Arabidopsis thaliana: one gene and its partner. The protein of the gene in region 2 purifies or fractionates together with the protein of the main gene of each other region. This does not show direct contact. Each region holds a gene or a part of one and is shown on either strand. Other genes may lie near its edges.

What was found. Proteins that work in one complex are often made in the same cells at the same time.
Region 1: the proteins of RIN4 (region 2) and RPS2 purify together in Arabidopsis thaliana (affinity purification with western blotting, with the first as the bait; one study listed by BioGRID). This does not show direct contact.

What each region holds. Positions count from the first base shown.
Region 1 is NC_003074.8:866,975-870,708, forward strand, and holds RPS2 (ribosomal protein S2), read right to left. Parts: upstream 1,733-3,734; 5' UTR 1,533-1,732; coding exon 873-1,532; 3' UTR 574-872; downstream 1-573. Other genes in the region: AT3G03610 (ELMO/CED-12 family protein), read left to right, coding at 2,177-2,179, 2,472-2,654, 2,736-2,838, 2,925-3,037, 3,568-3,636, 3,734-3,734.
Region 2 is NC_003074.8:9,130,040-9,133,794, reverse strand, and holds the start of RIN4 (RPM1 interacting protein 4), read right to left. Parts: upstream 1,658-3,755; 5' UTR 1,338-1,657; coding exon of another isoform or gene 1,332-1,337; 5' UTR 905-1,331; coding exon 443-904; intron 365-442; coding exon 182-364; intron 78-181; coding exon 48-77; 3' UTR 1-47. Other genes in the region: AT3G25060 (Tetratricopeptide repeat (TPR)-like superfamily protein), read right to left, coding at 3,474-3,755.

The DNA of each region.
Region 1 (3,734 bases), 8.3 Mb from region 2:
TGCTCAGAGATAAAGAAAGGGTTATGATATGACTGAGGAAGATGCTTTGATTCTGTCGAGGTAAGGTAATAACTAATAAGGTATTGTTGACAAGCTATAGTGACAATAATAAGGAGAAAACCAAAAGCTAACAATGATAATTCTTGGAGAGGATGGTAACTGAGTTAAGAGAGCTTAAACAACGTCGGTTTGTTCCATCGAGAAAATCTCTGAAGCACAACGACATCGCAACTATTCCACAAGTGAGAAGACCAGAAGAGAGAATCAAACTTGACCATCTTGAAAAGTCTAAGTTAGTTCCAAGAGCTTTACATGCAAATTTTCTTAGTCCCGGAGGATGATAGATGGAGACTAACATGGCTTGATCTTACTTCTTACTAACAATCTCTGTAGCACGTGCAGTGGAAACCAAGCCGATCAAACCACTAAGATTAGCAACAAACTCTACCGAGGATAAGTACAACTTCAAGAGGTATGACCAGAGATGCCCCAAAAAATCAGGAACATGACAGAAACTCGACTAAAATTCAAGTAAAGACCATAGAATTGTCTTAAGAGACATTCAAAGTTATCCCAGACAGTTACTTGTAAATAGCTCATTCCAAAACTTGTGAAGTAACGATTACCATATACAATGTCTAAAGCATTTCCAAAAAATGAGTTGTGCAAGGAAAAGACAAGGCAGTTATCAAGATGTAGAACACTAGAACTCAACAATCTTATACAGAAATATCCATCAGAGAAACAAAATCATCCATGTGTAAAAAACTCCCAGAATTTCAAAGTTGAAGTAACCACAATTCTGAAGAACAATTATTCCAGACTCAGAAAAACAACTGTAAAGTTTCATACTTTTGTTGCAAATATCAAAATCAAGCAGCTAAATCCTTCATCAAATCTTCATTGCTCCCTTCTTTGATCCCCAACTTCATCTGTTCTGCCACAAAGCACTTGGTGATCACATTACAGAACAAATACACAAACTTGACCGAATCACGAGCTGGCACAGGATACGTAATCTTCTCAAAGAACTCCAATGGCACATTCGGGTCCACAATTGCAACAACCGGAATCTGAAGCTTCGATGCCTCAAGTATCACAGAGCTCTTCCTCTCAGAATCAAACACAACGACACAATCAGGCATAGTAGTTGGACCAAAGCAAAGCTTTTTATGCCTAGATCGAAACTTCTTAGGACTGTAGCTGTTAGTCAAAAACCCTCCCATCTTCCACAGATTCATCGCACGGTTGTGATTATACGAATCTCCTTGGATCCGACGAGAAGTGAGCTCAATGATTTCGTCGAAGAGAGGATTCGTGTTGACGAAGAAGATGTTACCTCTCATGTGGGCGAGGTTAGCGACGAAATGAGCGGCGCTACGGAGGCAAATTAGGGTTTTGTCGGAGTCGATAATTGTCATTCCGTTACGCGTCCCGTAAGCGTATTGCTTGAAATGGTGCTCGGCGGCACGACGGCCGAGATGTGCTCCGGTGTTCAGAAGCTTCTGGATTACTGCAGCGTGAATCGTCATAGTTCGTCGTCGGAAAAACCACCGGACGGCAGCGAGAGGGTTAGGGTTTAAGAGAAATTCGCAGATTGAATTAGATCTGATGAGGAAGATGAAACATGGATGAATCTGGAGCCGTCGGGTCGGGTCGGTCTGGTCTGGTCGTGTTGGGTATGAGCTAATTACCGGCCCATTTCGGTAGATTTCAGATGCCTAAACCAAACATCGTAAACCGGATGACAAACCGGGTCGTTGACCAACAAAAGAGAAATAAAATAAATAGTAACGTATAAGAGAGATTAATCGAAATAAATAAAATTTCTGGGAAATTTGGCGGCGACAGTTTCCTTTGGATTTCAGATTTCGTGAGCTTATTCTTACCTTTCTCTCGAAGGAAGCTCTCATCTTTTCACTCAGATCACGTTCCCTGTAAGAGAATCGATCAAACCCAATTCGTAACTTTCCTTATAATGTATCTTAGATTCCAAAGTTTTTGGATTTGGTGATGTTTTTCTTGTCAAGTTTTCTGATTAGGGATTACAAAAAGTCGAATCTGAGATTTGGGGATTTTAAGCGATCCTGTTTTGTGTTGAGTCTTTTCGTTATCGCCCAATTAGGGTTTGTGGTGGAGCTCTGTTTGATCTTCTGAATTTTTTTAAAACGATTCAATGGTTGGTGACTTAGCGCAGATGCATCGCTTTGTAATTTGCTAGGTTGAAAAATTCTATCTTGTTCTGATTCCCGTTGAAGCTTCTAGTTCTAGGGTTCGTTTTCTCTTATTGATTTCTGTTTGCATGGGTCTGTTCTATGATCTAGTGTTGAAGAATTAGTGTCTAGTGTGCAAAAATTGGAAGACTGGACAAATGAAAAGCTTTAAATTATAATCGCATAGCTCCATTATCAAGACACTGTCTCCAATTTTCATGTTTTTGTTTGTTTGATCTTATTTCTGGTATAATGCAGGGGCTTATTCGCTTGTATCTGTTGATATACAAGATGGCATCTGCGACTCTGAGAAGGCGGCTTCATCACGGTGATGTAGATGGGAGGAAGTATGAACGCTATGATGCAACAGACTCTGAAACTTTAAGTGAACCCTTGTTAGGAAGTAGTAGTACTGATAATAGTAGAAATGAGTACATTGAGGTTAGTAGTTCAGTGTGTGTGTTTTTAATTAGAGATGAGAAGAACCCTTTTATGTATTATTACCTGTGGTGTTACTCTTAGGAGCGTACTCTGGAGGATATTTGGGAAGAAGAACGGAAGAGACAGCAAGTTCACTGGACGTTAATCTTTTCTCAGTTGATTGCACAGTGGGCTCAGTGGATAGGTTGGGCTTTTATTGTCTTGTTACTATCACTCCTTGATTTTTTAAAAGGGGGATTATCTCATTACAACTTGTTTCTTGGTTTGCAGCCAAAATAGTCTTTGGATCTGGCTCACTTGTTGGGAGGTTTCTTTCTCTGCCTACATTTGGTCAAATAGGTACTGGTGGGAGGCTTCTGCCACCACCTCTTAGTATGTTGCAGGTAATCTAAACGGTCTACCTTATCTTTTGAACATTAGATACCAAAAGATACGTTTAAGAGGACTATAATTCATCAGCCTATACCATATTCTTTTTTAAGTTTACATTTTCACATTAGGTTCTTGGTCTTAGCATTGTTGAGATAGCTTTAGTAGTTTGTGTAAGAATACTTTTGTAACTGTAAGAATACTTGTGTAACTGTATTTGCACTGTCTCATTTGTAGACTACAAATACTTTTTATTGGCTTGTGTTTGGAAGAATAATGGTAACTCTGGAAAACAAAGAGATGTATAGAATTAGAAAATTTATCAGAGTGTGTTTCTGCTTGGTGCCTCTAAGTCTCTTACTTGTGTATGTGGTTTATTAGGAAGCTTACTTAGTAAAATGATGACTTTCTCTTATGGTCTCAATTGCTTGTTTTTGTTGCTTTTTAAAATTTTACCGGTTTGTTTTGTTTCCAGTTATCCATGGTCAATTTGACTGTCACTGTCAATTTGATCTCCATTCTGTATTTTCTTGCCTCTTATTAGGAAGAAAGGCTGAGAAATATTAAGCGAAGAATAGAAATCCCATTTGATGGATCTCGAATGGAGCATCAAGTAAGTGTTCTCATGGACTCTCTGTTTGCTTGATTCTCTATATTAATTATGCACATGCAATGTTTTGTCGAAATTTATGTAATCTCATGATTCACAGG
Region 2 (3,755 bases):
ATTACACACTGATTTCTCGATAACTATATACAATCTTCCGGTCCCTTTCATTTTCCTCCAAAGCCAAAGCAGCAACACTGTCAAATTGCACAAGACAAACCAATGTTCAACACACACTCACTATTTGAATACGTATTCACTAATGATTATACTTGAAAATGAGTTTTAAAGAATGTCTTACTGAGGAAGTGTTGTTCGGGTTACGGGAGCTTTGATGAGTCGGCGTTCTTGAAGATCCACTCACATTTGCTCCAGAACTTCTCTCTTCACGGACTTTATTGAAGATATGCGTGTATCCGTCAGCTGATGACGGGTTGTTCTCGTCCCAGTCACCGAATTTAGGCACCACTGTGACTTTTTCAGGCTATATATAAACAGATGACAACACATAAGCAACAAACAGAGATATTCTCACTTTAGAGGTTAAAAGTGAGATTCTTACACTTTCATCAGCTCTAAGGTTGGTAGGTTTAGGCCTAGATTTTCCAGTACCATCATAAGAATTCTTATGCAAAGGTGACTTGTTGTCATAACTATTGTTCTGAGAAGCTCTTCCTTGTCTTTTGTTAGCAGCTTCATTTGATGAACCACCAGCATCACCAAACTGTTTCAACTCGCTCTCTTCTCGGCTTCTCATATGCTCACGTGATCTTCTAACCGTGTCAACTTGCTCAGGTTTGGTTCTGGAAGAAGGAGGATGAGGAGGAGCTTGTGATTGAGAGTCAGAGTTATACTCCGGGTCATTCGGGTTCATGATCTTGCTACCGGGTGCTCGAGTCTTACGAGCTTTGTCAAAGTAAGCTGTGTAAGGAACATTCTCCTCAGCTTCCCAGTTTCCAAATTTTGGTACATTCGAACGCTGTTGCAACAAACAATTCAACAACAATGTCCTTCCACAAAACATTCAATAACATAACATCCTAAAGAACAATCATCACAGAAACAAGATAGCAAATTCACTTAAGAATCCAAAACAGAACAAATACAAATTGGGTTTATCGATTTCGACCAAGTACAATGATAAAGTTGAAATCTTTGCTAAGCAAAAATAGAAACTTTACCATAAAAATAGTAACTTTCATAAAACCCTTTTCTTATCTAAAGCAAATCAGAATCATAAAGTTGAATACTAATAGACATCGCAATCCATAGAAATGTTATCTCAATAGGAAGAACCATAAATGCAAATAGATTAAGACTCAACTTTCTACAAATCCTCCAAAAAAAGGGTCAGAGATTGACGGAATCGAAACAAAAACTATAATCTGAGAGAAAGCTCTAGACCTAAATAAGAAGAAGAGGAGAAGGAAAGAAGGAAAGAAAACACTTACTGCCATGGGAGAGAGGTAGCTAAAGAATTGAAGTCTGAAGCTTTTGTTAGGTTTGAGAGAGAAAGACAGAGAGAGATGTGAGAAGGAGAGGAGACGAAGAAGAAGTTTTATAAAAGCGTTGACTAGTGGTGATGCTATGTATTCTTTGACCCTTCCTCTCCTCTCTCTAATCTTCTCTTCTCTCTTTGTCTCACTCCAAACTCTATTAATTTCATTTCTTAACTCTATTACTAAATTTTCATGTATTGTCAAGAGCACTCAAACGCCGTTACCGTTACCGTCACCGTTAAAGGCGGCTTTATTTTGGTGTCCATGTTACATTGTTTTCCTCTTAAAAGATTGTAATAAATATTTTTGTCCTAAAGAATTGGATATGTGGGTCGGAAGCAACTTTTGGTGGAATCTTCTGCTCTAGTAGATAAGTTTTGTGGATCTAATAATTATATGCTAATAGAATAATTTGATTATTGATAGCAACAATGTTACAATGTTATAGCAGAATTTAGTGAATTATTGATCTTGGATTTTAGCGGATTAATGAGTAGTAATAACTGAAATTTCTTTTGGTGACGATTGGTACCAATTCGTCTATAGATAGGTTACCATTTGAATCAACTACTTGCAATTTTTGTGATACAAATAGTACAATAACTATTTTTACAAATATCGCCATTTAACGCTAGTACGTATACTTTTATTATTTACACTCATAGTTTTTTTTAGAGAAAACTTAAAAGTGTTTTGTGAAGAGTACTACAAAGTGATAGTAAGTAAATAAAAAGTGTTCTACGAGTACAAGGAAAAAAAAAAGGCAGTATGAACAAAATAGTTAGAAAACTAGAAATGAGAAAGTTATCATCAAAGGTGGTTGACCACAACTACCTAATCTCTTTTTGATCTTAGTTGATGTTTAAGGTTTTAGCACACTAATCAAGAAACTAATTAAATGATCAATTGTTTCTTGGTTTTCACATTAAAACATCATTTATAAAACTCAACAAAATTATTCAACCAATAACAAAAGAAAGAATTGAAAATGTTTATGAGAAATTGAGAATATTAACTTCTGAAAAGAAAAAGAAAATAATCATATGGAGACTTTTTGTGTTAGCAAAGTCAAAGCTGCCTCTTTACACTGAAAGACCCTTTTGAGAATTTACGTACCTCTTTCTTCCAAGAACAAATAACATGTCTCGTAGCATCTATTATCGAATCACCAATGACAATAAGATGTTCACTAAAAACCATAATTGGAACATTATTTTAGTAATTTTTTACTAGACAAAGTTGAAAAATGGAAAGTATTCAGCGTTGTTCACATCAATTTATTTGTGGTTGCCGTAGCGATAATTATTCAATGCTCCCGTACTCATACACACGTGAACTATATAGTCCACACGTACAAGTGTTTTCACATGGTTAATGCCTTAATGGGAATATTTTAGAGATTGTTCACGAAAAAATAAGAAAGATCAAATCAAAGAAGACAGATCGTTCAGCTTCATCAGTTTCTCAACGTGAGTGTGTCTTTTTATTTTTTGTAGTCAAGTGATATGGTTAGTTAAGACTAAAGACAACTAAGAGATCGTGTGCATTCTTAATTCTTTTGGTGTTATTTAGTTTTGGAGCGTTACTCTATTTTTGGGACATACAACAATCCACCCCAAATCAAGTTTATTTTATATAAATTGGTCCACGACGGATTTCTTCTATTTGTCTCAATCCATACTCTTACGGACTATAATATATAAAATGGTTCAATCCGCAAACGAATTTGTCCGCCACAACCATACAAACCAGTGTCACAAAGCCACAAAGGTAAGGGTTTCTCAATACATTATTTAAGGGGTTTATCACTCTCTTAGTCTCTTTAATAAGTCTCAATTCTTAAGTCTCTTTCACATTTGTCAATTAACTTGAATTTGCACTTTGGTACTCTGCTTTTCTCAAAGGGACCAAGAACCTCTTGGTATTTTCTTCTCACTAAAATTGAAATTGACCCGGTTTGGTTTTCTTGTTCAACGCGTGGAATGTATTGTTAGAGTTTTTGACTAAAACCTCACTCCAAAATAGGGCCACATGAGTCAGAAATGGATGTATATATACATACTGAAATAAGAATGGATGCTCATAGAGACAGAACTATTCGACTCCGGAACATACATCTCTTATCTCAGTTTTCAAGTTCCTCAACACTTGCAACATGTGATAATGTTCATGGTGACTCAGATCTTCCATGAGAAAAGTTCGAAGCTCCCCATTTACTTCGATCGCGCTGTAGCCTGGTACCTTCTCCATGGCCCCATTTCTCATCAACTTCCTCACTTTGGCCACTTCTTTCCACTTATTGGCAGTTGCAAAGAAGTTAGAAACCAGTGTTTGGATCCCAATACTATCCGGATTCAACTGGAGAATCTTATTAGC